Linked DNA regions of Pelodiscus sinensis. The protein of the gene in region 2 interacts with the protein of the main gene of each other region in a biochemical or structural test. Links are inferred from orthologs where the notes say so. Each region holds a gene or a part of one and is shown on either strand. Other genes may lie near its edges. The genes, in order: EME1 and SLX4.

Region 1 (15,957 bases), on a different chromosome or scaffold from region 2:
TTTACTGTTACCAATGCGCACAGTTGCCAGATTATGCTGATTTCCATCTGCATTGATTTTTTCCCAACCGGTATTTTTAAAGCAAAACACACAAAGCAAGGGCACACAAAGTGCAACACTGACAAATGGGATGCAAAGGGTGTGCACCCAATCAAAATGTTGCTATGGTTCATTTGGCACACCCCAAAAATTCTAGGTAGGCAAGCACAATTAGCAAAACTACCCTATCCCAAGAAACAATCCTGGTTATGAAAATCTTGTGGCTCACTGAGATGAAGGGCCACTCATGAGGCCCACCCACTAGCTTAGGTTGCAATAGTTGCTCTATAGAAAAATTAGGCATACTGTATTCCAGATTAAACTATTTTAGCAGATTAACATTTCCTTAGCGAGGACCCTGTTCTGCACCATTTACTCCAGCCAGTGTCCATTGCACACTCTGGTAACGGTTATCCACTGGGCTGTAAAGAACAATGAGCGTTGCATCAAAGATTTACATTAAGGGAATGATATCTGAAACTGACATAGGGAAGACACTCTGGTTTCCAGAGAGGAGGGATGGATGTGCAGCATTAGAGTCCTCTAGCAGCTGAATAGCTCCATCTGATTCAAGCTGCCTCCCTAGCAACAAGAAGAGTGCAAGAGAATGCATTCAGACACACAAAACCAAGTTCCTGGATTCTTACTAGAATCAGAATCCCTGGGTGTATCCTATTTCTATTAGATATGTTCAAGTCAGTTGCTCTTTGGTTATGGTAGAGAACTGAGGCTGACCCACAAATGTATGCATGAAGCACATCAGAATGGGCATTCTAAATTGCTGAGAGCAAGGAAAGGAGAAAAATGCTCCAATTTTACCCACTTCTTCCACTTCCACTCTCGACAGCTCAGGGCGAGAGTCCCCCTTTCCCTTCTGTTTTTTTCGTTTCCCTTGTCCTTCTGCTTGGCTTCCATTCAGCACTGCCTGCCGCACCTTCTTCCGGGACTGAACTTTGTGAGATCTGAGAAGAAAAAGAATAGCTCAGGAGTCCACGTCTCCTATGATGCTAGCAGAAGGCACTATAGGACTGGTGCACAAGTGCAGTCGCTGGGGAGCTCAGTTACCAGCCATCCCCTGGAGGAGATGCTGTATGAAACAGAGAAGGAAGACTAGTTACAGAGGATGTTACTGCTATTTTTCATGTTTCAGCCTCTGCCAGTAGGAAATACAAGTGATGATGCAGAACATCTATGGTCATTACCAACACTTATCCCATAAGAAACAGCATTGAAACCTCTGAAGAATTCTAACCTGAAGTATTTTTCTAGTTCAACTACAGCCAGTGCTAGAGTTTTGCCAGGAGCTCTCTCTAGGACACAAGCTACAAAGCTCCGTAAGGTCTCTTTTGGTCCTTCTTTGCCACCCTGGATTTCCTGCAAAGACAGCCAAAAAAATAGTATTTAAACCCACTTTAACCCACACAGGCCAGCACTAGCAAAGAGTAGCTTCAGCCCCCATTCCTGGATCTGTGCAGATGTAAGGGTTTGCTCACTCATATCCAGTTGTAGAACTGGAATTTCAGGTTCCAGTACTGCAGTTAAGTCAAACCCTGCAACATGCAGAGAAATTTCTGCACATCCCTGGCCTCCTTTCAATACAGCAGCAATGGTCCGGGGGGGGGGGACAAGAAGGGCGATTTCCATCTCGCAGGTTCAGAAGGCTTGACAACACTGGACATTCATAGAGTTTTAAAACAGGAAAATTTGTACTGCCCTAAACCTCCAAAAGAAACTTATGTAAAAAGAAAAATAAGTAATGCACATTTGGACAGCACACAGTAGTCATGAGCAATCTCACCTGTCTGTAGCTGTAGATCATGGATAAAAAATCATCCAGGCAAAGCAGAACCAGGATATTGGGTTCTTCTATCCAGCTGCCTTCTTCGACCTGCCCAGTGTTGAACACACACTGGATTTAAGATATCAGTGAAACTGATCCCAGCTTCACTTACATCCAGGGTTTTAGCCACACATGAAACATTTCAACGTGAGAGCTTGTTAATGGTCCACCTCCCTTGAGTTGATTGCTAAAAGGAGGCAGGAGGACAGTTACTAAGACTGATGATGAGTTTTATAGTGCATGTGGCATCAGTTTATCAATAAGTTGAGAGAGAGCATGCAAAAGTCTGGGAACAACAAGAGACCAGAGTGGTCATAGGGATCAAAGAAATGTGACCCCAAAGTGGAGAATATTAAAAGAGCTCAGCAGAAAGAGGGGTCAAAGATATGGACAATGAATTGTGTTTATAAAACATTAATAGATAATGTCAATCTGCTTTACAGAGAGTCACTATTACAGATTAAAGTGAACATCAACTACCCTTCTGAGGAGGTATAAGGCCAAGAGTGAGCGAGCAATTGCAGAAGTAGATGGGCACAAGATCAGAAGTATTGTGGAGGAATGTCTATTGATAATTTTGAATGCAAACAAAGGAGTTTAAAATTGGATTCAAAGATAGATAAGAAGTCAGCAAAGGTAATACAGAGGATGTGGATGTAATGGTTCCACTTCTGAGAGGAAAAGGGGTCTGGCAAGAGCATAACTGAGGTTTAAAAAATAATACTATAGGAAATATTTAGAATAGTCCAGAAGGGGAATAAATGTGCAGGTAGGCATTTGAGAGGAGTTAGGCCCAAGACAAACTGGCACTATTTTAGCGGAGAGGAAAAAAAATTTTCAGATTAAGAAAGCATTCCAAGATTTTTGCCCTCACAGCCAGGACTTATGGTCCAGGTTTATTCCATGATTCTGAAATCACCAAGGACATTTTAACTCAGGAGGAAGACTAATTTCTGAAGCATTTAACGGTAGGAAATTAGGGGACAACCAGGAGCTGAGGGTATGTCTACACTACAGAGTTAGTTCGAACTAACTTAGTTCGAATTAGTTAATTCGAACTAAGCTAATTCGAACTAACGCGTCTAGAACTAAAAACTAGTTCGAATTAGCATTTTGCTAATTCGAACTAGCATGTCCACATTGAGTGGACCCTGAACAGGGCTTAAGGATGGCCGGAAGCAGTGCCGGCAGGGCATCAGAGGAGGACTTAGAGCGTGGAGATGCTGTCTCAGGCTAGCCGAGGGCTGCGCTTAAAGGGACCCGATCCCCACCCCGGACAGACAGTTCTCAGGGGTGCCCCGCTTGAAAACCAGTCCTGGCTTGGAGTGCCGGAGTGCCCACACTGGGAACATCACAGCACTCGGCCATCAGCCCGGCTGCACTTGCTGCAGGCTGCCATCTGGGGAGAGGGGGCAATTGGGGGGCTGCAGGAGAGCTTCCACCCCCAGAAGCCCGCAGAGCCAGCCCAGTCCTCCCCATCGGGGGGCTCGTACCCCATTCCTCCCTCACCCCCTTCCACTTACCCTTCCCTAGCCCCCCTTCCTGATGTACAAAATAAAGATAACGTTTCTTCCAACATTGATTCTGTCTTTATTGAACAAAACTGGGGGAGACTGGGAAAAGGAGGTGGGAGAGGGGAAGAGAAAGGCTGGGAGAGGAGAGGGCAACTAACATGATCGGGGGTTGGGAACAGGTCCCAGATGAAGAGAGGCTACAGAGACTGGGACTGTTCAGCTTAGAAAAGAGGAGATGGAGCGGGGACAGGATAGAGGTCTCTAAAAGCAGGGGTTGGGTGGAGAGGGTGCATTCAGAAAAGTTCTTCCTGAGTTCCCATAAAGAAGGACTAGAGGACACCAAAGGAAAGGAATGGGTAGCAGGCTTCAAACTAGTAAGAGAAAGTTGTTGTTCTTGACAAAGCCAATAGTTAACCTGTGGAACTCCTTGCTGCAGGAGGCTGTGAAGGCTAGAACTACAACAGAGTTTAAAGAGAAGTGAGATAAAGTGATGGAGGTTGGGTCCATGGAGTGGTATTAGCCAGGGGGTAGGAGTGGTGTCCCTGCCCAAAGTTTGTGGAAGGCTGGAGAGGGATGGCACAAGACAAATGGCTTGGTCACTGTCTTCGGTCCATCCCCTCCAGGGTCCCTAGGGTTGGCCGCTGTCGGCAGACAGGCTACTGGGCTAGATGGACCTTTGGTCTGACCCAGTACGGCCATTGTAAGCTCAGGGCTCAGGGTCGGGGGTCTCAGTGGACCCCCTTGATTTTCATGCACACCTGCTCCTGGGTGGCCAGGCTGGCAGCTCTCCTGCCCTAGACGGCCACTTTCCTGTGCCTAGTGCGGAGTTCGTGGACAAGGTCCACGATGTCTGCACTAGCCCAGGAAGGTGCCCGCCTCTTGCGGTCCCGGGCAAGCTCCCAGGAGCCGCCAGCCTGGTCCCGGGAAGAGGGGGTGGGCTGGGGGACATCGGGTGGGTGGCTCTGTGCCGTGCCAGGTGCAGGGTCTGCTGGCTGGGTGCTGGCAGGCTTGCACCTGGCACGGGCACCGTAGCCAGCCCGTGCCCCTTTAAGGGGTCCGGGGCCGGGAGGGGGGCAATAGAGTTTCCCTGGTGTTGGCCAGAGTGGCCACCAGGGAAACCTGGGGAGGGCTAGCCTCCCACTAGTTCGAATTAAGGGGCTACACACCCCTTAATTCGAACTAGTAAGTTCAAACTAGGCTTAATCCTCGTAAAATGAGGTTTTCCTAGTTCGAACTAAGCGCTCCGCTAGTTCGATTTAAATTCGAACTAGCGGAGCGCTAGTGTAGCGCCTATGAATGTTAGTTCGAACTAACGTCCGTTAGTTCGAACTAACATTGTAGTGTAGACATACCCAGAGAGAGACATAGCAAGCAGTATGACAGCGTGTGTCAAATCAATGTGGAAATGGGTGTTATCTTGCTAGAAATAATGCCAAAGCTTGAGAGAGAGAGAGAGAGAGAGAGAGAGATAAGAAACAAAGAAAGATACATCTGGGAGCAGCACTCCAGCAGAGGAAATGAAGGGAAAATCTAAATCTTCCTCCAGAAATGATACAGGTGGCTCACAGGAAGCCTGAGAAGAAAGGAGCCAGAGTTACTGGGAAAGAGATGAGAATGGCAGTCTTGGAGTGTTTGGTTACATAGTACAGAGAAGAGGAGATAGTGAAAACAAGTGAGAAATGACATTTCACATGCAAGAGAAAGACCAAAGAGAAGTCAGTCTCATTTTAAGATTATCTTGGTAGCTCATGGACAGCACAAAGCTACCACCAGTAACATCTGATCACCAAGCAACACAACCCCATGTGCTAAACACAGAGGAAGAAAAAGGGTGAGAACTTTGGACGTTGTGGTCCCCTACCTGAGATGACCTAGCCCTCCTCCTCCATGTGATGCTATAGGGAACAGCCTGACTCTCAATCACACAGCCACAGTTCATGGACTGCACAGCACTGAGGACTTGTCCACCTCCTTCCACCTGTAAGAGAACTAAGATGGGTGTAAAGGTCAAAGGCCTACAATAAGGGCTGCATTAATTTAAGGTTGAAAGAAGAGATAAGGAATGGTACCTGGATCCAGCACCACTGTTATATGCTTCAGGCACTCCTCTGGTCGTTGGGCCTTCAGCATGTTGGCAAGAGCCTTCTTCCGCTCTCGCTCCTGCTCCTGCTGTTCCTTCTGGGCTTCCCGCTCTCTCCTCCTCTGCAACACAGCCCTACGAGCTCTGTCTCTCTCTTCCTGGCTGTGTTTTAACTTCTTCTGCTGAGGGGACATTTCTGAACTTGCCTCTGCCACCAGAGACCGTCTATCCTGGACTGGAGAGTGTGACAGATGAAATGGAGACTGGTGCAAAGGCACCGTCTCGGAATCTTTTGTGGCATCATCTTGGTCACAATCTGACATTTCCCATGATAAGACAGGGGCTCTTGTCTGGGTATCAGAGGCCTTGGGCAGCAACTGTTCTCTGCAATGAGTCACCCCTCGTTCATTGCAATGACGGAGAACAGTACTTTTAGCTTTACACACCGCATCACAGCTACTCAGCTGCTGAGCCTCAGAAAGCAAAATGCTAGTTTTGGAGGACTTGCTGTTCCCCAATTTCCCCCTCAGTCTTTCAGACAGGGGTATGATCTCCTCTTCCTCCTCGCTTTCACTGCCTAGCCTGGCCGTCACACCCTTACAAGAGCTAGCTCTGTCCGAATCCTGGAGTGTTCTCCACCCTGGCGAAGGAGCAGAGGATTCCTCAGAGTCAGAGCTGCAGAGCACCACAACCCGCTCCTTGGAAGGAGGCTGGCTCTGGCTGCGGCGGCAGCGGCTGCTTTCGACGGCAGGATGCTGTTGCTTTAGGAAAGTGAACTTTGGCAGCAGGTCCTCGGCCTCGCTCTCGTCCGACTCCAGGGACATGGCGGCCCGTCAGTGGCGCCTGAAGAGCAACGGGCAGCAGAGCCCCGAGGCGCGGCTGCAGACCGGCCCCGTGCGCCTCCTGGCCGCTCCCTAAGCCCCCGGAACAGCCTCGCTCTGCCGCGCCCCAGAGAGGGGACCCGCTCTCGTGCGCCGGGGACACGAGCCGACGCGCGGCCGGCGGGGCGGGTTCCCCGGGGCGGCCGCGGGCGCGCGGGGCTCCGCTGAGGGAGCGCCGGCGAGCCCCGCGCGCGCCAACCTCACAGCCCCCCCCCCCGGCAACGGAGGGAACGCAGGCGCCTCCCCCTTCGGCGTATTCAAACTGCCGCCGCCTCTCGCTCCTGACCGGAAATCCTGTGCCGGAGGCGGAAGCAGCCGCACCGGAAGCGGAAGTGACAGTGAGGAAAATGGCGGTGGCAGGGCTCGGGCGCGTTGGGGGCTTGGTGGCGGTGACTAGGCTGCGTGAGTGTCAGAGGGGAGGGGGCGATGGATGAGGGGTTGGGGAAAGGGCGATGAGTGCAGCCCGGGTGAGGGGGAAGGGAGAAGGAAGTAGCCCTTTCCCCCAGTGCGCCCCCCCAGCGGGGGGTGTGGAAGGCCACGAGCCCGGTGACTGGCCTATGGCCTGTAAGTACCCGAAGGAGCGGGGTGGTGCCATCGGTTTGCACCGCCGGCCTGTAGCGGTTACAGCCTAACGGGGAGGGGAGGCTGCCTACACCCAGGCGCCTCCCACCCGTCAGTGGTGTTGGGACCATTGAACGTCCTGGACCAAACCAGGGGTGATCTCAGCGAGGGTGGCACAAAGAGGTCGTGGTGGTCTGGGTACCTGATGTGTTCCCTCGAGGTTGTACGTGAGCCTATAGATACTTTTTAAAGCACTTTGAAATCAGTGAATGAAAAGCATTATAGAAGGAGTAGGTGTTATTAAGTGATCCATTACCCCCTTTCCTTCCCTCCCTCCTTTAGCTACCTGCTTTTTGCCTGTTGGGTAATCTGTCTAGGGTTCTGTATCATGCTTAGCACTCCTGCGTCCCTAGCACAGCACGTGAAGTTAGAGTAATCAGATATACTAATAGTACTAATAAAAATATACAGTTCTGCCACATCTGGGACATTAAAATCTATATGCCATGCATATTTGCCCATGCTATGAGACAGTGAGGTTACTCTGCTGCTTACAGCTGTCTACCTGAGTGTAGAGCTGGCCCAAGGTATATAAGATCTGACCTGGGAGGTAGGCAGGCATCTGTTACATCTTCACTCAGTGGAGTTACTCTGGTTTTATACTTGTTGGCCTGTTGAGCAGTGTGTGGTAGGGAATACTTCTGCGCCTGGTCAGGTTTATCTTTTTATTTTTAACTGATGAACTAGTATGGGTTTGTTGCAAGTCTTTGTGCCCAAGAAGGAAAATCTGAGTTCTAATTTTTTTTTAAAAAAAGTCTGTTGCTCCTTCCCCTCTCTGCCACCCAAAATATGCCCACTTCCTAATCTCTGTTTCTCTCCAATGGAAGCTCCCTGTTAAGATTTGAGGAGGTGGGGACCATTGAGTTGCAGGGCTCTCTCTTGTTTGAGCAGCAGTTTAAATTTCACCACCACTTCTTTGGAGTGGCCAGCAAGGAATTGTCGCTCATACATACTGGCTGGTGGATACAGGAGGGAAATTCCATAAGATTAGGAGGTGTCAGTGGTGCTTCAGCTGCTTCATTGTTCAGTAACAGACTCGGTTGTAGACTAGTGGTTGATCTTAAAGCTTTTGAACATAGGGATGTTAAATATCGGTTAATTGAATAGTCGATTAACCTCATTAATTCTTATCAGTTATTCGACTATTCTGTAGTCCGTGAGGGCAGGCCTAGCAGTCAGTACGCTCTGGACCCACTCCAAAGGAGCCCCCTGCCACTCTGCACTGCTGCCTCTGGGGTGCTGGGCGGGAGCAGGTCTGTGAGTAGAAACAGTTTAAAAAACAGCTCCCCTTGTGGACTGGGCTTCCTGTCACCCTACACTGCTGCCTCTGATAGAGAGGCAGCAGTGCAGGGTGGCAGCAGCCCCTGTTCAGAGAGAGTTCTGAGCTGCTGGACCCAGCGTGAGCTGGAACTGAGCTAGGCTGCCTGCCCGCTTGGCTCCTAATGGCTTTTAAAGGCAGAGCTGCCGCAGGGGTAGGTCCCAGCTCCGGCGCAACCTGGGACTGAGCTGGGCTGTTGGCCATCCTGCCAAAAAATGTATTGGCAAGGGGGGGTTGGAAACGATGCGTGTAGTTTATAGCATTTGGTTAATCGACTACACTATTACATCCCTATATGCAGGGCTCACCGAACCGCAGCGAGCCCCCCTCACCAGCCATGCTGTCCGGTGATGTGTGCATGCGCAGATCGCCCGAATCTGGCTCTTCTGGGTTGCAATCTACTCGCCACGGGCAAGTAGATTGCATTATTTGTCGAGCCCTGCCTATATGAGCAGGCTTCTAAAACCACATTTTTGTTGCAAGACCTCCCTCTCCCCCCAAACCCTGTAAATTTTCAGTTCATCATTTTACATCCATATACAACAAAACAGCCATCTGCTGTGGTTTGAAGAACAGCTACTTAGTAGATAAGCCACCTAGGGGAGTCTCCATCAGATACTGCAGAAGGGGAACTGTTCTGGGTTAATGGTAGGGATGTTAAAAATGCAAAAGGCAGCAATACGTTGCGGGGGTTACAGGTGGCTCCCCAGGAGCCAGTGTGCACATGCGAACCGGAGCTTGCATTTAATATGTACATGGCTACACTTTCACATCCCTAATGAATAGGTGTTGGTCTAGAGTGGAGCAAAACAGGGACTTGAAGGAAAGAAATGGTGTATTGAACTGGAAAATTTTTAAAGCAAAGAGCCTGGCTTTGTTTTACACAGGAAATATCACATGTATTTCTAACCTACAAATCATTCGCTCGAGTCCCTGAATTTTTCATAATGTTCCATGGTATCTTTACAGCTGTTACTATCCAGGCAGGCCAAGGCTGGGGCAAATGAAGTGGCTGTATGGTATTCATGTGGAGTTTAAGAGGCTGGTTTTGACTGACATGAAACAAACTAGATATAAATAGCTTGGCATCTGCTCATTTGAGAGACTGCCACTCTCTCTGTGCTGTGCTGCTGCCTTTACAATCAGCAGTGGTGCTCATGCATAAAGTCCTTTCCTAATAAAACAACAACAGAGAGCTGCTCACAGGGCATTCTCTGGGAGGGGCTCAGAACTTTGGAATTCTGTCACCAGTTCATAATGAGACTTTGAGCAAGTACTTTGAGCTTTGAGCCTTAAGTATTTATCTTTTATAGATAGGTAAACTTCCTACTATATTTGATGGTATGTGCTTTAACTGATATTGGTAAAGTTCTTTGATGTCCTCACATGAGGTACTATACCGACGCATAACATGATTTAAAATATAAAATAATTACATTACCGATCAAACAAAGATAGTTACTTAGCTACAGATTACATTTAATCCCAGTCTAGTAAAAATACTTTGCTAGGAGCTCTGAAAATCCCATTACTTCCCTGCCTCATTCCGTCACAACCACTTTCTTTTATTTGTTGTATTCTAAACATGTATAATAAAATGTCCTTTATAAAGACATCCTCCAAATCTTTATTTAAGTATCTGAGATAATTTAATAAAGATAAAATGAATCCATTGCCTTTCTTTGAATAAGAAAATGAGACTCTTGGGCTGTGTCTACATTGGCACCCTTTTCCGGAAAAGGGATGCTAATGAGACACTTCGTAATTGCAAATGCTGCGGGGGATTTAAATATCCCCCGCGGCATTCGCATGAACATGGCTGCCGCTTTTTTCCAGCTCGGGGTTTTGCCGGAGAAAAGCGCCAGTCTAGATGGGATCTTGCGGAAAATAAACTTGAAAGTAGGAATAAGGGATCTTCCGGAAAAGCGTTTATTTTCCGCAAGATCCCATCTAGACTGGCACTTTTCTCCGGCAAAACCCCGAGCTGGAAAAAAGCGGCAGCCATGTTCATGCGAATGCCGCGGGGGATATTTAAATCCCCCGCGGCATTTACAATTCCGAAGTGTCTCATTAGTATCCCTTTTCCAGAAAAGGGTGCCAATGTAGACACAGCCTTGTAGTAACCACTGTTTAGCAACACTCTAAACCAGTGTTTCTTAAACTTTTTGAGACCATGGAACACCAAACAATAATATTTTTTTAAGCGGAACATCTATGAAAATTTTCTTTAAAAAAATTGTTGTCAAACAAAAAAAGACAAAAACAAAGAAGAGGTCATGGCACACCTGTAAGTTGTTCATGGAACACCAGTGTTCTGTGGAACATAGTTTAAGAAACACTGCTCTAAGCTGAATAGAAGGATTTAGATAAAAGGCAAAAAGACTATATGAAAAAGAACTAACTATATCCAAACTTATGAAGTGGAATTCACAGACAGGTCAGACTTTCTTGAGTATTTATTGACAGTGGATTTGGTGTATTTGATTTTTAATGGAAGAACTTTGTGATGTAAAAGAGTGACATACTCCAAGAAAAGAAAGATGAATCAGTTACTATCACACTTTTTTTTTTTAACCCAGGCCTTGAATAGTAGGGTGTGTGCTGAAATTTGTTCCCGTTCAGGACCGCAACCACATGGCTATGTATTGTTCACTATCAGGGTCTTGATGATAAAACTGTTAATTGTTATAGACAGTTAACTGGGGCTGTTAAAGCATTTTACAGACACTAAATCATTTTTACAGACACTAAATCATTAAGGCCCACACTAATACTCATCACACAGGTAGAAAACTAAGACACACAATATTTGTGACTTGTCTCAAGTTCACGGAGTTAGTGGAAGGTAATCCCAAGTGTCCTGAATTCCAGTGCCGTGCTCATATCAGTTGGCTACACTGACTCTTCTGTAACTGTTTCTGTAGCTCAGAAATTTAAAGTGCATGGCCACAATTAATAGCAGATTGTTTGCATTTATATACACTGTTGAGAGTTCTGCTACTCCATTGAGGTATTGGGAGGCTTTCTGAAGTGTTTCATGATTGTTTGCAGGAGAGAGACAATGGACTAAATATGAATTACCTTTATAATACATTTATTCTGAGGGGTTTTTTTTTTTTACCTGATTTAGGCTTTAACATTTGTTTTGAAATTACATGAATTTTGAATTAGGAATTTTTTTCTGATTTAAAAGGAAGTGTAAATTTGTACTCATTTTGAATTCACTGTTAATTTTTTTTCTTCCTTTAAATACAGTTTTGGCTGCTCCACAGGTGACTGCAGTTGCAGTACGATGTGCAAGCAAGAAGAGTGGAGGCAGCTCAAAAAATCTCGGTGGCAAGAGTCCTGGGAAACGCTATGGCTATAAGAAGACAGAAGGTAGGTCAGTCTGTCTGTCTATCCAACTGCTTGACAAACTCTGGAATGTGCCCTCCACAAGTTACCCCATTATCAGGACTGTTATATGTGTTTCAGAGCTCAGATGGGAGCGTTTGTTTGTGACTAAAGAGAGAGAAACCCGAAGGTTTAGCCACTATTGGCTACAACAACATTGCATACATAACCACCATTGAGAGAGTAGCCAGCAGGAGCTCATTCCCTGATCCGCCTACGTTCAGCGGAATGAAGTTACCAATAAGAAACAGGCACTGGTTCTAACTTAGCTTGTCTCTGGGGAATCTGCGTGGAAGCACACCCCAGGAGGAAACCCTGTGCCCTTTCCCCTCATCCTGTGCTCAGAAGCTGGGCATTTCAAGTATTTATAAAGAGTAGAATTATGAGGCTTAGTAGAAGCCAAAGTACAGATGCCTGTATCTGAGTGCCTAACAATTAGGGTGGGTTTGCTGATGGAAAAAACTGATGTAAAAGGCAATAAAAATGCCTGCAGCAAATAGAAAATGCCTTGTGCCCTCGAACTAATCTTTTCAAAGGTTAAAACTGCTTTTCACCATTGTGTATTAAGTGCCCTGTGTTCTCTGATAGGAGCATTTTAAAAATGTTTTTAGAGTTTGGAATCATTCCTCCTTAGGAATCCCAACCACGGCTGGCTTTGTGAGTTCTCATTCTACCAGAACTCAGGCTATTGAGAAGCTTATTCTTTTGTAATCTGAATCCATGTAACTCTGTTGCAGGTGCCTTTGTTCATGCAGGCACTACATTGGCCACCCAGCGGGTGATACGCTGGCATCCAGGGGCTCACGTGAGTTAGTTTTTCATCTTTTATAGCTCTGCATCGCAGTATCCAGAATTCAGCCGTAGCTCTGTCAAGGCTCTTCTCTGTTTCCTCCGTTGCATTTTGTAGAACCTTAAAGTCACTGTTTCATTACCAGACATGTTTTACCATTTATTCAAAACCATATCAGTGCAGGAGTCAGATTTAGTAAACAACTGGAGAGTTTTGACTGTTACCAACATTTGTATGTGAAGTGGGGATGTTAAATACGGTTAATTGAATAGCTGAGTAACCTCAGGAATTCTTACTGGTTAGTTGACTATTCTATAGTCCTTGGGGGTGGGGCCAGCAGCCAGTGCACTCTTGCCTCACTCCTGAGGAGTCCCATGCCACTCTGCAGGCAGGTGATGGTCCATGAGGGAAGCCAGTTTAAAAGCCAGCTCCTTTCATGGACCAGATGCCTATTGCCCTGTGCTGTTGCCTCTGATAAAGAGGCAGCAGCGTGGGGTGGCAGCAGCCCCTGTCTGGGGGCAGGTCTGAGTTCCCAAACCTGGCACAAGCTGGAATTGAGCCGGCCTGCCTGCCCACCCAGCTCCTAATACATTTTAATTGCAGAGCCACAGCAGGGATAGGTCCTGGACCCGGCATGAGCCAGGACTGAGCCGAGCTGCCTGTCCACCCAGCTCCTAATACACTTTAAATGCAGAGCCACAGCAGGGGTAGGTCCCAGACCTGTCGCAAGCCAGGACTGAGCCTGGCTGCTGGCTAGCCTACTAAAAAACTTACTGGTGGGGAGAGGAGAAATGCATGTAGTTTATAGCATTAACCTATACGTTTTTGCTTATTGGTTACTCGACTGCACTATTACATCCCTAGCATGACGTTAATCAGTTCTCATGCTTCAGGGTTAGAATAATGTATCTTTTCCCATAGCATGTAGAATTGTTGGCAGTTCCCCGAGTGCAGTGCTTTTTGCCTTCTTTTGAAGTATCAGGTACTGAACATTGCTGTAGCCAGAACACCAGACTAGCTGGACCAGTGGCATGTTCCACTTTGTTAAATGGTGCACAGTGACCTAAACGCTTTCTAACAGCACACTTCTCCTCTCTTCCAGGTGGGGATAGGTTGTAACAAGACACTCTTTGCTTTGGAGGATGGGATTGTGCGATTCACCAAGGAGGTCTATGTGCCACCACCCCGCAGCGAAGAGACCAGGGACGTGATCTGTTGCCTACCCAAATCAGCAGTGCTTTACAAAACCTTCATCAACGTTGTCCCCACCAAAGAAGTGGGGAGCTTCAAGCTAGTCACCATGATCTGAGGCTCTGCTTCCCCACACAGTAATGACTGATCACCATGACAAACCTGCCACTCAACCAGAAAGAAGTCTGAAGGACTCCTCTAGATCTGAAATGACTTGTTGGCAACTCCAGTTTCTGGTTCCTAGAACTCACTGGATGTAAATTTGAGAGTTACAAAGTAGTCCAGACTGCCCCGATGCTGTTTGTTGAAGCATATATAAAATAAATGTTCTGGGATTCTCTAACAGTGTGATGGTGTTCGTGGAATAAGTTTAAAAACAAAAAGGCTCAGTGAATCTGCCTTTCCCTTCTGGATAGCTGTGCTCCAGTCCAACTGGAAATACTGTACTTTCTGCACAGGAATTATCCAGTTCCAGGCACAGCCATTTTGTTTCTCACTATTCATTGGAACAGTTCCTGTCCTGACTGCATCTGATGTACACTGGGAATTCTGAAAAAGGAATAGAATCTGAATTCTAATCCCAGCTTTGGTACCAGCTCATTCTGTGGCATTGGGCCCCTGCCTCAGTTTCCCGATTCATTATATATTTGAGAGTTTCTGTCTGTTGAAGAACTCCTTCTAAACAGTAAGAGCTAGGACCACCAAAATGGGTATGCCACTTCCTCTTATAATTTAAAGCAAGATCAGGGTTTGGTTGTGCCAGGACAATGGGATATGCCTGTAATGTGACTCTGTTTTATGAGAAACAAAGGGAGGGATCTGATAGCAGGGACAGTTAGCTCATATAATGACCACAGTGGGGCGGCAACAGACAAAAGATGGGCATCAGGACAGCTATAATCCCACAGAGGCAGGGGTGGAGAAAGCAACAGCTATCTACTCTATATTTGAGAGAGTTTGTAAACACCCCTACGCCTGTTGTGCCTGCTGCAGCAGCCATGGAGAGATGCTTCTCACATGACCGGAAGCTGCTGCGGTGAGACAGGGCTGGGGTTGTTCTCTCTCCCTGGAGCTGCCTGCATACTGAGCCCCCCAAACCAATGATTTACAGGAAGAAAAACAAAAAGTATTTGAGTTAAGGAACTGAGCAACGCTGGGTAAATCTTCTAGTTGGTAACACAGGGATAATGACCAACACTTTGGAAACATGAACTCATAATGTGTGTGAAGTAGGAAAGCAGCTATTCCCATGGGGGAAACTGGAGCATGGGATTTGCTGAAGGCTCCAGAGTCAAGGTTATTACTCAGGAATTAGTGATTCAGTCGATGCCTCCTGGTTTGCGCTAACTGTAATCACAATTTTTAATAAGCAGGAGTGACCTATGTGGGGATCAGATGCTTTATTGAATCCTGTTGTCATTCCTCTTCCTCTTAATGAAAGAGTTTTTAGTATATTGGTAAAAGTAATAAACCTGCATGCAAGGAATTACTGGGTTCCCAATGCTGCAGTTTATTGGCAGGAACAAGTACCAGAAGGAGCTATGTCTATTGTTTGTGGTTCTCCTCAGAGGGGAAAGTCCAGGGAGACCCAAACCACCAACTCTGCTCTCATGATGAGCTCTGGGTGTACTGGCAAAGCTGCAAGCCTCACACAGAAGTTTCATTGTAACATTCCTGTCAGCTTTGGTAGAATAGGGAACTCCAGGTGCTCCCTGTCCAAAAGACAGCTGCAGAGAATGAGAATGTTTAATCATGAAATAGCTTTGGAGTTACGGCCATGTCCCGTCCTGCCATGGTGAGCATATTTAAAAGGGAAACTGCCATATTGATTGTGGTAAAAAATAAACCACGACTTTCTAAAGTTTCACTCTAAAACAATGTGTCTGGATTTTGCATCCCTCCTGTTTGTAACACTCATGTTACAGCATTGTCCAATGGCATAGGAATCAGTGGGGGGAAAAAAAAGGCTTCCTGAATTCTAAAGGTTTTGGTTTTAATAAGTGTGTAAAATGTTCTGTTCCTATCATTTCTAGCATAATGTGATTTTTTTTTAAAAAAAAAACCCTTATCCATGCCTCTTACTTCCTCAGATTAGTAAACAAGTTATTTTTAAAAAGAGTCCTTCATTCTAGACAGTGCTTGGTCCTGCCATGAAGGCAGGGGACTGGACTCGATGACCTCGAGGTCCCTTCTAGTTCTGTGATTCTAATTATATTTTGCACTGTCACTCACCTTCTACAAAACTAGACTGGTTGGTTTTATTTTTGTCCTTAGTTTCATTTGGCACTGG
Region 2 (16,185 bases):
GATATACTCATGAAAGAGCTATATATCATTATGGATACACTGGAAGGAAGTGAACCGATCCAGCTGGGATCTGAATCTGTGTTTCCAAGAAATCTGTATTTTAAAAATGGATGCTTAGCACACCATCCCTTCCAGGCTTGAAGAGCCTGCTGCAGATATTAACTAAGTCACACAACCGTTCAATAAGGCAGGCATTGTTAGCCTCATTTTACAGATGAGGAAAATTAGACACACAGAAATTAAGTGACTTATTCAAAGTCACATAATGAGCCAATGGCAGAGATGAGAATAAAATCCAGGAATTGTGCAGATGGCTCCCAATCTGGCACTCTAACTGATCGACAACATTCCCTGTATACTTAGGATAGACTGCAAGAGACACATACCGTTCCCCAGCTGGTTCTTCTCTTGGTTCGCATTAAGAATGTTTCCATCTGTTATTGTCTCTGGTAAATTGCTGCCCAAGGTGTGTTTCAGCTGTTTTGGTCCCACTCTCTTAAACTGCTGCATCCTCTCCAGCACCAGCTCTGCTACCCGCAGCCTGGTTCCTGAGATCTGGAGCGTCTTTGCAGGGGATGAGGTAGAGGTTGCTGGTTCTGCAGCTGCAGTGAAGGATGATGCTGTTTGGGAGCAGGTCCGCAGGTCACTGCCTGGGGGGGAAAAAGCTCAGTCCTAATCAGTCCTTCCATCTGGAGCTTTGCAAATTCTCCATTAAATACCCAGCTACACTGGACAGGTAAGGGGGTTTCAGAGAAGCCTCCTCCCACAGCAACCTCAGCCATTCTTGATTTTAGAGTATGCGGATTCTGATGGACAAGATGCTCACCTACTGAGTTTCACCCTGTAATAATAATCACACCTAGCTCTTACATAGCACTTCCACCAGAAGGTGTCAAAGTGCTTTACAAAGGCACTCAGTGTCATCAATATATTTCCCCATCTCATGTCACAGATGAGGAAACTGAGGCATGGAGAAGTGACATGTCCAGCTCAGGTCATCCAGCAGCTCACTTGCAGAGGTGGAAATAGGCCCCAGATCTCCAGAATTCCAGTCCATGCTCTATCCACTGGGCCAAACTGACTTCCAACCAGTGATGTAGGTTCTGACTAGGGATGTGAATGGTTAACTGGTTAGCATCACCCTTACAGGATGATTCTTACTGGTTACAGTGAACTGGCAGGCAATGGAGCAGCCCCCTGCCCACTGCAGGCAGGGGGCTGCTCCAGACTGGTGGGGCCCGCTGCAGGCAGGAAGTGCTCCAGCCAGGCCAGAGCAGCCCCCTGCCTCCCCCTATTTAAGCGGTTAACTGGTTAAACATAACATTTAACCAATTAACTGATTAAATGGGATTTTACATCCCTAGTTCTGACTTCCATTCCAATGATGGGGCCTGAGAGATGCTGAGCAGTAGGATCTCTCAGGCTCTATAATGGGTAGAGGCTGGAAATCAGAATCTAGAGCAGTGTTTCTTAAACTTCTTAAGACCAAGAAACACCAAACAATTTTTTTTTTGTATGAGGAACAGCAAGGATTTTTGGTTGAGAAAAAAAAAATCGCCTGCTCCTTTAAGGGTGGCCATTTTGAACTCTGTTGTTCTCCATGGCACACTTCCGATTGCCTCAGTTTAAGAAACACTGATCTAGAGTGTTGGCTGGGAGTCTGTGGCCCAGTGATGTTGGTCTGGCCATTGCTTCAGGCTGTTGCATAGTCTATTGCCAGAACATCTATCAGGGTGGGATGAAAACTACCTCTCTGCAGCCTGGGCTGCTTTGGGGAACCCTTCCAGCTCGGTGCTTCATGTGACAGCTGGAGAGGCCTCGCCTACCTGACAGCATGTGCTGAAGAACAATGACTAGGGACAGTCAGAGGTGTCAGTCTAACAAGTGGAGTGCTTTCTACTGTACTATGAGTGAGCAAAATGCCACCCTATGCCACCCTAACTGCCTGGTAGGCCCGACCTGGTGGAGTTTAGAAATGTTCCACTGAACATGAAAGCCCTTCCAGCCCCAGGGTATTTTCCATAGAAATATTTCAGAGAGAAGGAAGGAGATTGGACAAGTTACCTGCCAAGCTGTTCTGCTTACACTTTGGTGCCATTGCATGCAACTGAGTGACAGAAGGAGGGTCTCCATTTCCATCACCCAATGGAGGCCCAGCATTTCCACACGCTGTGGCTTCCCCTTCTGGTTCATGCCCCAATGCCTGCCCATTGGGGGTGGTGGGCCCTGGACACCCCACACCCTTTCCAATAGAAGACCCAGGTTGGCTTTTGCTTTTAGCAGCTGACTTGCTCTTTTTCAGTTGGCTTTTTGTGGCAGTGCTCCTCGTCCTGCTCTGAACCTTCCTCCCTCCCTCAGCATCTCCAGCCTTTTTCTTCACCCTGCTCAAGAGGTTAGCACAGAGTTCTTTAAAATCATTGTCCAACTCCTCCATCAGGCTTCCAGCCTCAAAGCACTCGGCTCGGCTTCAGTGTGATGGGGCATGTGGGAGTACTGGACTTGGCAGCAGGGTCAGCGCAGGTCTGCTTCCTGCGATGACCTAGTCATCATTTTGCCTTATGCACCATCCCTGCAGTCTGCACACTTTGGATTCCAACAAGATCAACGTGGGCACATTTCTGGCTGGTCCAATATTTCACCCTCTCTATTTCCAACTTAGCCATTAAGTCCTGTAGAGTCTTCAAGGAGTCCACTTGTTATCATTCATATTCAGGTGACTTCCTTGTGCTCTGACGAGTTGGATAAAAGATGGAGAATGCACTCTGGAGAGAGGACGCTTCAGGATCTTCATGATGTGCTAGAAGGCCGTGCAAGGAGCTTTATGATAACATCTAAACAAAAGAAATAAACAAGGGTGTAAATGAAGAATGGTTTGTATAGGCACAGTCTGGAATTAGGTGGAGCTTCTGAGGATCAGTGCTGGAAAACCCTGATTGGATAAGGCATATCATTGACACAAAGTATTGTCAACCAGAGAACTACCCACAGACACAGAACATGCTAAGAGGGGAGGCACAAACATTTCAAAGAAGATTCCTGGCATTAAACATCACTATCACATGCATAACAGCATGTTTCCTACTTTACGAATGGGCTGAGACTGAGTTTTTCTTTTACATAATAGGATCTGGAAGTGAATGTCAGAGTGGAACTAAAACCACACACACACATATTTTATATCAGGGGTTTTCAAACTTTTTTTTCCTCATCTTGAAGAAAATTGTTGATGCCCGCAACCCAACATAATGTGACTAGAGTGTGGGCTCCAGGGTGGGGCTGAGAGCTTTGGGTTGCAGGAGGGGACTCCAGCTTTGGAGATCTATGAGGAACTGATGATACAGCTGCAGTGCCTCACACTGAAGTGCAGGAGAATTGGACTGAGTTAACAGTCTGGCGCCAGACAGAGCTTGGACTGCGAAAAAAGCAGCACAGCCATGACTGGACGAATGCATTACCTCACTCAACAGCAGACCTAGAAAGCAGTGGCACATGGTCCCTGAAAGACTTAAGGAGGTCTCAAGAGAAGGATCAAAATAGAGGGAAAGTTGGAAGCACTTCATTCCTCAAAAATGGAATTAAATGTTTCTTTTTCCATAAGTAACTAGTTTTCTAATTATAGAAAGATCCCAGGAAGAGGGAGGGCTCTGTGCTGCTGTGCTGGAACCATAAATATTACTTCCCCTCCCTTGAAGACTTATTACAGAGGACCTGGAAGCTTGGAAGCAGAGTTTTCAATCACGCCAGTCAAAACACAGCATGGGGAAAGAATTGGTATTTGTGCTGGAACCCACAGCAGAAAGAGACCCCCTGGAATATTTCCAGCCCAAGTACTGTAGCCATAAGCTTTCCTACAGCCCTCAGTACTTCCCATTGCTGCTGGAGAGAAACCCACAGATCTACAGCAGACCTTCCTGAGGAGCCTCTCACAGACCTTCCCTCATGCAGTCTCTCTCAGTTCAGTGCTACATAGGCTTGTATGTCATGCTCATCACAGTAATATCCTTTGTAACCATAGTATGGCAGACTCACTGTACTGCTACACTGTTCACAAGGCATGGCTTCTCTGCATCCCTGGGGTTGCAAAAAACATCTTAATGTGCAACGGCAATCAAAAAAGCCAAAAGAATGTTAGGAATAACTAGGAAAGAGATAAATAAGAAAATATAACGTCACTACATCAATCTATAATATGCCCACACCTTGAATACAGAATGCAGTTTTGGTCACCTCATCACAAAAAAGATATCTTAAAATCTGAAAAAAGAGAGAAGAGCAAACCAAACAATCAAACAAACAAAAAAAACCCAAGAGTACTGCTCATTTTAGAAAAGAGATGACTAAAGCAGGATATGATAAAGGCTTATAAAATCACTAATGGTATGGAGAAAGTGAAGTGTTATTTACCCCTCTTCTAACATAAGAACCAGAGAGCCCTTAATTTCACTGAGTTAGTACTTCTTAACACTATCTGTGGAACTCATTGAAAAAGATGATGAAGGATAGGTCCATGAATGCATTAGCTCAGATGGTCAGAGGTGCCACTAAATCTCTGTCTGAGAGAAGTTGGGACTGGATGCTAGGAGATGGATCGCTTTATTATTGCCCTGTTCTGTTCGTAACCTCTGAAGCATGTTGCATAAGCCACTGTTGGAAGTAAGGACATAGGGACAGATGGACCATACATCAGTCAATTCAACTACCTGATAACTAATAATAATACCTAGCTCTTATACAGTGCTTTTCATCAGTAGATCCTGACACACTTTACAAAAGAGGTCAGTATCATTAACCCCATTTTACAGATTGGGAAACTGAGACAGAAAGGGAGGGGGAAGGTGACTGGCCCATGGTCACCCACGAGACCAGTGGCAGAGCTGACAATAAAGTTCAGCATGTGAATGTCCGCAATAACAGGACAAAAGCTTTTGTCTTAAATCACCACATCCCTTGCTTTTCCAGCCAGGATCGGCTCTTTTGGTATCTAATCCCTTCTGATCTTGGAAGTGAAAGGTAGATTTCCACTTTGCTGCCTTGAAGATGCTGCAGAGAGAATGCAACTGCTGCATCCCCAGGTAATATGGTCTGAGTGAACCTGCATCTGCTACAGTTAAGCAATAGTACAAAGCTGAGTGAAACAAGTAACTACGAATCTGACGGCTATAAATATCTGTGACGATAAGAGAGAGCTGCGATAGCTCAAGGAAAATCCATGCAATTTTTAACAAAATCCCACATTTTAATTTTTACCGCAAATTGCTAATGGGGCTTATTATCTATGCCTAGCTTGGTTACACACAGAATCTGCACAAAAGGCCTGATTCCTCTCTCTTACCAGTTTAACTCTAATGAAGTCAACAGCATTTCTGATAGGAGAAGCAGGCCCTACATAGCAAAATTGTTTTGGCTTTTTTTTTTAAACTAATATAAATTTAACTTTTCCTGAACATAATGCTAGGAATAGATGCCATGCTAGATAATGAAATAGTCAATCCACAGAACAATAGTATAGACTAGGGGTTATCAAACTTCACTGCACCCCAATCCCTTTCTGACAACAGAGTTACTCAGGTGGAAGAAAGGGACAGAGCCTGCTCCCCACCGCTCTAGGTGTGGGGGGAGAGAACACAGCCAGAGACTTGCCATTCCAGGGAGGAGGAGAGGGGGACAGAGAGAAGGGACCAGAGCCTAAGCTCCACCACCCTGGAGCCACGCTGCCCTAGGTGTGGGTGGAGCTCAGGTTTCAGCTTCAGCCTAAGGTACAAGCAAGCCTAAGGCTGGCCCTGGAGACTCTATTAAAATTGGGTCAAGACCCATTTTGGAGTCCGGACTCACAGTTTGAGAACTGCTGCTACAGAATATAGGAACTGCCACACTGGACTGGATCTGCGATCGATCTAGTCTGATGTGCTGTTTCTAACATAAGAATGGCCATACTGGGTCAGACCAAAGGTCCATCCAGCCCAGTACTCTGTCTGCCGACAGTGGCCAATGCCAGGTGCCCCAGAGGGAGTGAATCGAACAGGTAATGATCAAGCGATCTCTCTCCTGCCATCCATCTCCACCCTCCTAATGATGGCTAGTATCAGATGCTTCAGAGAAAGATGCATAAACACCTCATTATGAAGCTGTGGGATGATCTGCCACCATGACAGCCTCACCCTAATAGTTAACAAGGTTGGTTTGAGCACAGACACATGAAGTTTGCATCTTTCAAAATTTTGGCATGGTTACCATTATCTATTGGACAGTCTTTGTTAGCCATATAAATGTTCAATCTCTTTTTGAATGTTGCTAATGTTATGGCCTCTTTGGCAAACCTGTGAATTTTGTGTTAATGTGCCAATGTTTTAATTCCATAGATATCCCCTTGTTCCTGAATTGTACGCCTGGGAGAACAGAAACGCCTGACCTACATTTTCTTCACCAGTAATTATTTGATAGACTTTAACCGTGCACTGCCAAGCACGGCTTTTGCAAGCCAACAATTTTAGAGCGGTGTACTAAAAAGTGGCTAATTTAGCAGTGGCTTTGCGCGTGCTTTTAAGGAGATCTGTTCACCAAATCCCACGCTGTCATACGTGCCCCCCACAACTCCTCTTCAAGGTGTTGCCACTGTTTAAAACCCTGGAACACCAGGCTGAATGGCGCAGCGCCGTTTCCACTGGCCTTAGACCCGAGCTACGGATCCCCGGGCTGATGCTGGACAGAGACTTGGTCTAGCACGGTTCGTTACCCGGCCCGGGCCGGGAGGGAAGGGTTGTGGGGTGCGACCGGCTGGGATTCCCACCCGCACTGCTGGGGGCGCCACATTTCCCACCATCGCCCCTCACGCCAAAGCCGCCGAGCGGTGCTACGTGACAGCGATGGCACTATGACATCACAGCGGGCACTGTGACATCACGGCAGTGCTGCCTGACAACGTCTCCATGGGAACCAGAAGTTGCGCCAGCCGCTGACAACGCAACAGAGAATCTTCCCCCCGCTACATCGTCTCGTCCCGGCCTCCCCCGGACCCTCTGACCTCTGCTGGGCGGCAGCTCCGCACCCCTGGGTACTAAGCCGGGCGGCAGCACATTCCGCCCAAAAGGCACGCGCAGAATCTGTGGCGCATGCGTAGAAGAAACGGCGGCCGTTAGCGGGTAGCATTCGTGGGCCGCTTTCCGTCGTCTGGCTTCTTCGCGCATGCGTAAACCCCCATCATCGCTACACAAAGGCCACCTCCCAAACCTCGTTCTGTACGCATGCGCGGCCCCTCCCCTTGCTGCGCGTGCTCCGGAGGCACCTCGGCTCGACCGGCTGCTAACGGCTCAGCCAGGTTGGGCCCGCGCGAGCGTTTTGTCGGTTAAACGGTCACGCGCAGACGGGCGAGTGCGGAACGGCTCTCCAGTCACAGCTCCCGGCTCCTGCGGGGAGTTTAATGAGGCAGCAGGAGCGCTCCAATGGCCCCTCTTAGCTTTGCCATCCACTGGGGAATCCGTGCTTACTGCGCGCCCCCAGCACCACAGCCTTAGAGGGAACTCGCCCTGTTCACGGGTACCAGCGTGCTGACAACAGATCCGTCGTTCCCCTTGGCTAAGCCCCGTGATCTGGCAATAAGGAGTCTCACAGGAATATCCCGGGGACCACAAAGTTTCCGTTGTATAGGGGCCACCCTAGGAGGACCGAGATTTTTTTCGACACCCATGGTACTTGTGCTTACTGAAACAAAGGTGAGCTTCCTTGTGGTTTCCATGGAAGGGAGGAGCCTTTCAGGACTGTGTCCTGAGTGGCTTTGCTGAATGCAGGGATGTTAATTAACTTTTAAAATGTTAACCAGTTAAGTGCTAGGTTTCAGAGTTAACCCTGGAGCAGCCCCACCCAGTGGCAGGACAGGCTGCTCCAGCCCCAGCTGTGCCATGACTTCAGATGTCAAGGGCTGCTCTGGCCCCAGACCTACTGTGGCCTTGAAGGTTACTCCAGCCCCTGCTGTGGGGGCTGCTTTTGCCTGCTTGTGTGCTGGATGGGTCTAAGAGCAACCTGGTGCAGCGGAAACTAGCATATCAGATGGCAGCGTGGTGTGTGTGTGGAGGGGGGTTCCAACCTGTCACAGTTGATAGAGCTGAAAGGTGCCTCAGTTTTCAAACATTAAAGCTGAACCAGAGAACAGGCAGGAATTCTCTTGGGAGAAAAGGCTCCGGAGCTGCTGGGCTAGAAACTCTGGCAATGGCTGTACATCTCAAATGACTTGGTTCCATTTTTTTATTGAAATGTATTTAGGATTTCTGGGATCTAGGCCCTAGCTCAGATTCACTGTGTGCCCTTGAACAATTCATTTACCCTCAGTGCTAGTTTTGCCACTAGTTAAATAGACAGTAATGACTAACTTCACGAAGGAGATGGGAGAATTAGTGTTTGCAAAGCATAAACAGAATTACTAAGTATTATTAATGGCTCCCGAGTTCTCTGCTTTTGGAAACAATAGCCTCCCTTAATGTTTTAAACAGTTGCTGGTGAAGGAGCTTAGAGTGCAGATTCCTGGCCTGTGGTTTGTCTGTAAATCACAACGCTGGACTCTACCCAAGACACTCTCTTGAATGTTTTAGCAGGAAGTCTGGATGAACAAAGCTCTGTTCTCAGTTACGTAGCCCAGGGAACTACTTTGAGCTGGTCCAGTCTCAAAGTCCCAGCCAGACCTTCAAGGGATTCTGTCCAAGTCCCAAAGCACAGGGTCTCAGACACATCCTTCCAAACTGGATTTCACCGTCTATAACTATTTGGCATTGCCTATGTTAAGGATGTATTTGACTCCTTAGTGCTACCTGTGGGTCAGCTGACCAGCCTCAGAAAAAAGGATGGTTAAGAGCCTAATTTATTACCCGTTAATTACATGAACACTTGGGCAAGAAGCTGCCAGTGTAGACATAGCCTAAGAACAGCTGATCTTGCGCAAAAACTTGCCTGCTGTCTACACTGCAGGAGCATTCTTGCACAAGTAAGTTTACAGTATAGCGTTGTAAAACAGGGCTTCTTCCTGAAGAGTTATTCCTCTCCCCATGAGGAATTAGCCCACAAGAGCTGATCCACAAGAGGGCAGTGTAGACAGGCAACATGAATTTCTTGTGAAAGAAGCCCCTATGGTTAAAATGACCATCAGTGTCCACACTGCCATGGATGCTCTTGCGCAAAAGCACATCTCTTGTGCAAAAGCACATGGAATTGTGGACACGCTCTTGTGGAAGATTTTTTGCACAAGAACTCTTCCGCAAAAGAGTTCTTGCGCAAGAAGCTGCCACTGTAGATGTAGCCTTAGGTTTTGCCTGACCCCAGAATTTGAACTGCCTCATTTATACTCTTGGGCCCGCTCAACACTAGGGCAGAAGGATGACCTAAGATACACAACTCTAGCTATGTTAGTTACATAGCTGGAGTCGATGCATCTTAAATTGCCATCCACACAGCAGGAGGTTGATGCCAGCAAACGCTCCCGGCTACTTCCATTATACTCCTCACTAGGAGCAGGTGTGACGTAGTGGGGGGCTGTTTACTCTAGTGGTTGTAGGTCCACTCTGGTTGGGCATTCACTGGTTGCAGTGGGGGCTGCAGGTGACCCCTACTGGCCTGCATCTGTAAGCACTGCCCAGTGGGGGGGGGGGGGGGTCGCCTGGAGGCTCTCCTCATGTAGTTCATGGTCCAACCAGTTCTCACCTGATGAGGAAAGGGATCTGAACAACAGAAGGGTGTGGCTTGGAGAAGGGCAGTCTTTGCTGGAAAAACATGAAGAGACTAAGCTGAATACTGGGGGTTGAGGGGCTAGTGGACCCCTATCCCAAGGGGTCCAAGGCTGCCTGGCCCTGACTCCTGTAACCATATGACGTCAATTCTGTACTGTATCCTGGAGAACCAATAAACCCTCTCTATTCTACTGGCTGGCGGAGTCTCATCTTGCTGCGGACAGAGGTGCAGGATCAGGGGATACCCGCCACACCACCTTATTGGTGCTGAGGGAAACACCCTCTGAGTTCAATTTAGTGCATCTTCACGACACTAGCTAAATTGAACCCCAGAAGATCAACCGCAGCAGTATCAATCTTCCATGTACTGTAGACATGACCTTAGTATTATATACAGTATAATGCAGACCATAAGTAAGTCCAATTTACTGGGTGGTATTTATTTAAATGACTAAACAGCAACAAGATGCTACATATACCTTAAGCAGAGCTGGCTCATGATCCACCATATAGACACTGAACAGACTTCACACATTGACGATGCTAGTCTGAGTTAATCCTAGAGATGGAAAGGTGAAAGGCTCTACTTTCTGATCTTCCCAAAGGCTGAGGTAAGTTTATGGTATTTAAAAAATGACAACATTACTCTTCAATTTTGTCTGGTCAGCATCACAAAATGCTGGTTTAGTGACAAGTTTTTACTGCTTATTTGTGTTCACCTGCTGAGCTCAAGTATCTCTGGGAGAGAGCTGATTCTATGCTGGCTCACATGGCACCAGAATCATTAACCAAGTTCTACTTATAGAATCTTATTTCTGATTCATCCTGAACTCTCCAGTAAGAGCCCACACTGAGTTTGCAATGCTACTGGTTATTAAAAAAAATCTTGTACACTGAGCTCAACTGCCCGGTGAAACAGAAAAACAGAGGACCATGGTAGCTTGTCTCTCTCAGGCCCTTTCTGCTGGGTAGTTAGCACATGTTAAAAACCTGGAGTTTAGCTCTTAGTACCTTAAGGACAAGAATTAGGGTTCATAGCTCAGGGACTCGCCTCCTACTTCCCTTCCAATTCCTTCTATATGGCCTTCCCCATCCCCCACACCACTGGCAGAAGGAGCTCTTCCCCACCATTCTAGGACGCTGCTGCCTCTCAGCATTGGGGAGTGTGTGAAAGGATATGAACTGTCATGCTATCAGAGCTGGGGCACAACAGAGAAAAATAAGGCAAATTCCCCTGGTGAAGGTATCATTAAATGAAGAATTTATTTAACATAAATAAGCAGAACAGCGATTACCTAGGGCATGCCAATTATACCACAAGGGAGGCAGAAACCCTGGAAAAACTGTTCAAAATGCCAAGTGAGCTTGTCAAATATATCCCCAGATACAGAGATGAGTTCAGTTATCCAGTGGCTCAGCTACCTTATCTGCCACACCACTCCGACCTATGTTTGTTAATGGCAACCATCTATCCCGGTGCCTGCTAACCACTGGGTGGAAGTTTTGTGACAAACTCATTTTGCTCGGCCGAAGCTGGTGTTCTGAGCCCACAGTGTACAAGGGCAAATTCCTGAATGGGTATCTGGGGCTGTTTCATGGAGCTAGTGTGGACTCCTGATGTCAATTTTGCTATTGGGAAAGACTGTTTCTGGAATCAATATGAAATTAGAACTTTGGAGCCAACCTCAGAAATCCTGGCAAATCATTTTAGCGATAATCTCCTGGTTTTGATCTCAGCTGGATGATGCCATTCCGGAAGGGTAATACACAGCCCAGTACTTACAACTGGAACCTCTCTCTAAAGTGAAACTTGGGAGCACATTCATGTGCCACGCAGACCTGCAGAGATTCTAGTCTCACTGTACGGAGTCTGGGACCAGACGGCTGTTCCATCAGCTGACAGTGGAAGTTGTGCTTGAAGGAACTGCGGCTGATACCTGGCACAGAGCTTGCCCCTTCGATCAGTTTGGGGATCAGTGTTTTTCCAGGGCTTTGGTAAGGAGCTCATTTAGACGGCTCACCATAGGTCTGGGGTCATCATTCAGTCCTGCTGCTATCATGGCATTCTCATAAATCTGAGCGAGACAAAGGCACAGAGAAGAGATGTTGTTAGCAACAGGAGCCACCTTGGTGGCTCTCCAGCACTCCATGCCCCGAGTGTATGAATGTGAGGTGCCATTTGGAGCCCTGTTCAGTTTCAGACACAATTACCATCCCTCCACACTTCAAGAGAGCCATCTTAAATGTCAGGTACTGCCTATGAATTCTTTCTGCTTGGTTCCTTTCCTTTCCTTTCCTTTCCTTCCCTCCCCCCCCCCCCCACTAGTGCTGCCCACTCTGGTGTAAACAGCATCGTTCTCAGCTCTGCACCAGACACGAATTGTAGTAGGCCAGAATGAGCAACACAGACCCATCCCTGGATGACACCAAAACATTCTAGGGAAATGGTCACTGCGTACTAAAAATACCGAGAGTGGGGATCACTGGGTACATGATTCCAGTTGGCCACAAGACAGCCTTGGTCCACTCCCTTACTGCCCACAGATGTGGTAGCCTGCTCAGGGAGCATGGTGCAAACATGGCCCTCACCTGATCAAGCAGCAGCTGGGCCAAGTCAGGCTGGCTGACCCTCAGTTGATCGAGTTTTTTGATCAGTGCATGCCTGCAATGGAATGAGAAATCAGCACAGGGTTGCAGTACCCCTGGAATGTGTGAAAAAGCCCGATAAGAACGGCCATACTGGGTCAGACCAAAGATCCATGTAGCTCAGTATCCTGTCTTCCAATAGTGGCCAATGTCAGGAGCCCCAGAAGGAACAAACAACAAGTAGTCATCAAGTGATCCGTCCCATCACCTATTCCCACTTTCTGAAAGAGGCTGGGGACACCTTCCCTGTCAACAGCCATTGATTGACCTACCCTCCATGACTTGATTTAGTTCTTTCTTGAACCCTGGTCTAAGTCTTGCCTTTCACAATATCCTCTGGCAAGGAGTTCCACAGGTTGACTGAGCTGTCTGAAGAAATACTCTCTTTTGTTTGTGTTAAACAAGCTGCCTTTTAATTTCATTTGTTGCCCCCCAGTCCGTGTGTTGAGAAGTAAACAAAACGTCCTAATTTACTTTCTCCACAGCAGTCATGATTTTATAGACCTCTATCAAATCTTTCCTTAGTCTCTTTTCCAAGATTAAAAGTCCCAATCTCTCCATACAGAAGCTGTTTCATACCCCTAGTCTTTTTTATTGCCCGTTTCTGAACCTTTTCTAATTCCAAAATACCTTTTTTGAGATGGGGCAATCACATCTGCACATGGTATTTAAGATGTGGATGTATCATGAATTTATTTAGAGGCAATGAGATATTCTCTATCTCTTTCTTAATGATTCTCAGCATTGTTTGCTTTTTTGACTGCTGCTGCACATTGAGTGGATGTTTGCAGAGAACTATCCACAGTGACTCCAAGATCCTTCTCGAGTGGTAATAGCTACTTTACACCCCATCATTTGACATGTACAGTTGGGATTATGTTATGTACATTACTGTATCTGTTGAGCTTCTTCCCCTTTCTGCATGGATAACACAGATGGCTGCTGCCAGGGAACTCCCCCATGAGGCTGGACATCATGTGGGCTGGCAGGGGCATGTATCCATTACTAGGCACAGCTCCATAGGCCAAGACACACCAGCACACATGCGAAGAGAATGGAGGATCCCAGCTGGTTCAAGTTTGCTATGCCAGCCAATATCTGCCTCTGCACCTCCTGCAAGCTGCAGTGCTCTGGCTCTGCCCCATCTCACCCAGTGTTTATTTCCAGTGTGGGCTGCAGGATCTGGGCACGCTCCTCGTTGGTCTTGGCCAGCTGCTGCATGCGCAGAAAGTGGCGGGCAGCCCCCATCTCAAGCACAGTGATCATGGCCGGATGGGTGTCCAGACGTGGAGTCACCTGTCAGAGGAACAGCAAACAGGGACAAGATGGGAAATGCACATGGCTCAGAGGAAGGGGAAAGTAAAGGGCTCAAAGGCTGGATTTCGGCAGGGAGGAGAATGTCCCCTTGTTGCAGAATCTACACAAAGCTCAGAGAGAACTTACAGCCACACCCAAGAAACTGCCTACAAGAGGGTGAAAGCCCATGGCTTGAATGGTACATGTGAGACACACTGAGCACAGGGTGGGGAGCTTGGATGACGTGGCTCTATTTCTGCCTCTGCCACTATCTACCTACCCGAAGGTTCTGCCTCTGTCCAGTATCTGCCTACCTGAGGGTTTTCTGTAGCATCCATCCCCACACCAGGAAAGTGCTGCCCTGAATCCTCTCTCTGCCCTCAAGCTAGTCCCATCCCTCACTGTACGGAGGCAGAACAATTCAGATGATCTACCCAGAGGGCTGTGTAGGATGAAGATGAAGCTCTGTCTCAGTTCAGTCCAATGCTTACAGAGGGAGAATTCAAGGAATTATTCTCCCACCAAATGTTACTGACCATTCCACGTACTCACTACCACCCTAACTGCTCCCTGGTAGCCCTAGTGTACCTGAACAATTCAACCACAATCACACCTTTGAGCCAAGCCAAAGAACTGGTGTCTGGAGGAGCATATCCTTGCCACTGGAGTGCCTCTCTGTGTCCAGGAGCTGTGCTGCCACGGTCCTGTCAGTCTAATAACCCCTCCAGTTCTTGGAGTGTCAACAGAGCCTGTCATCTTATACAACCTAACTCTCTAGCTAAGTCCCTGCTCAGTTGATCTCCTTTCATAGCTAGCGGAAAGGGCCAAACAAAGAACTCGAAGTCCAGCGGTCTTGGACTCACTCCTCTGGCCTCTAACATGCCATGACCATTTTCCCTCTCCCTCCTTAGTCTGGGTATGAGGCATAAGAACCCAGGCCCACCCAATCCACTGGACTCCAGCTCAGGGCCCTTGTTCAGAGTAGCCATAATTAAACTGTATCAAGAACCTAATTGTTCCCTGAGCTGCTGCTCCTTATCCGTGGGCTTTCCAGCCTCATGTTCAGCTTCTCAGTTTGTTAGCACCAGCTTCTCTCTACAGTCCCTCTGCCTTGCTAGCAGCCCTCCTGCCACACAGCCCTTTAATACCCCAGCTGCCATGGGGCTGCCTATCAGCTCAGGCTGAGCAGGCAGCCAGTCTGCATTAGCCCTGCGGTTGCCAAACCAGCCTGGGGTGTACAGACCCGAGGACAGTGTCCAAAGGAGCAAGGCTGAAACTGACACACCAGAGGAAAGACAAGAGCTGGGTTTATGTAGGAATATTACTGAAAGGGTCATGTAGCTCCAGCCTTATCCCTTGAGAAGCGTGAGACCATCAGATACACTCCTAACATCTTGCCCTGGCAGAAGGGAAATGGGGGTAGACTTATTATTTATACAACTATGGGATCCAGTGGCCCAGCTGAAGAGAAGGCCGCATTGTGGCAGGTGCTCCACATAACAGTTAAAGACCATCCATGCCCTAAGGCACCTACAGTCTGACTAGACAAGACAAAGGAAGAACAATTTATATCCATTTAACTGGTGGGGAAATTGAAGCACAGAGAAATCAAGTGATTTGCCCAAGATCAAATTTGGCTGAACCCACATCTTCTGGGCCCTAGTTCAGAGCCTTGACCACCTACCAGACTTCCTCTTTTCTGAGGTTATGATCTATATAGGTCTTTTCCACCTTTAGCTCCTGGAACACTACAGCACACGTACCTTAACATTGGTGATGCGAGAACCCAAAGCATTTCTCATCCAGGCCATCAGCTCCTCAGCCTCTTTCTCCGTCAGGCGTTCTGCAGCTGTGGGGATAGGATGGGTTACATCACAGTACTGCCATGGGGCAGCACTAGGGATTGTGTGCTTTGTTCCTGAAAAGCAGCTTTGTCCATGTCACATACCCATCTGCTCTCCCACAGACAGAGAGATTGCACTAGGTCGATACACATGCATCATTCCAGAGACCACCCCATGCACAAAGAGAGAAAGTTTATTCCATCCCAAGCCCTACCCTCTGGCATCAGCAATGTCTGCTATTACAATAAAGTGGGCTTTAAAACTAGGTTAGACCAGAGAAGCCAGTGAACTTAATTGTTTTAAACAAGAAAACTGCTTGGCTCCTGTCCATAGCAGACAAGGCCTGCTCTCCTACTAGTCAGGGCAATGTTAGATTTCTTTTGTTTTAAAGAGAAGAATTTACAGCTCTGCTACAGCGCTCCTGCTTCAGGGGTCTCAGTGTCGTTATTGAGACCTACATTTAGTCCTTTGTGCTTTACAGCCACTGGCCTCATGAATCCTCAGCCACCTAAATAGCATCACAGGACAGGGCAGGCTGGCTAAAAGTCTCCCAGAGTGGGCAGGCAGCACTGATTTAGGAGGGGCAGCTGCATCCCTCCCCCCTTTCTTCAGAGAAGGTGGGGAAGTGACAGGAAAGGAACTTGCAATAATTGGCCACCAGCAGTTTAGCCACTATACAAGGAGACAGC

What was found.
Region 1: the proteins of SLX4 (region 2) and EME1 form a complex in vitro, tested with the Homo sapiens proteins (3 studies listed by BioGRID, with this or other methods). The link is inferred for Pelodiscus sinensis from reciprocal best matches to the Homo sapiens genes SLX4 and EME1.

What each region holds. Positions count from the first base shown.
Region 1 is NC_134730.1:13,961,386-13,977,342, reverse strand, and holds the start of EME1 (structure-specific endonuclease subunit EME1), read right to left. Parts: upstream 6,572-15,957; 5' UTR 6,298-6,571; coding exon 5,463-6,297; intron 5,383-5,462; coding exon 5,255-5,382; intron 1,928-5,254; coding exon 1,838-1,927; intron 1,414-1,837; coding exon 1,292-1,413; intron 1,002-1,291; coding exon 863-1,001; intron 1-862. Other genes in the region: MRPL27 (large ribosomal subunit protein bL27m), read left to right, coding at 6,807-6,918, 11,549-11,671, 12,424-12,491, 13,579-13,785. UniProt on the Homo sapiens protein: Non-catalytic subunit of the structure-specific, heterodimeric DNA endonuclease MUS81-EME1 which is involved in the maintenance of genome stability. In the complex, EME1 is required for DNA cleavage, participating in DNA recognition and bending.
Region 2 is NC_134726.1:3,759,174-3,775,358, reverse strand, and holds the start of SLX4 (structure-specific endonuclease subunit SLX4), read right to left. Parts: upstream 7,168-16,185; 5' UTR 7,022-7,167; intron 2,832-7,021; 5' UTR 2,435-2,831; coding exon 2,065-2,434; intron 651-2,064; coding exon 387-650; intron 1-386. Other genes in the region: TRAP1 (heat shock protein 75 kDa, mitochondrial), read right to left, coding at 11,684-11,785, 12,300-12,372, 13,507-13,652, 15,416-15,501. UniProt on the Homo sapiens protein: Regulatory subunit that interacts with and increases the activity of different structure-specific endonucleases.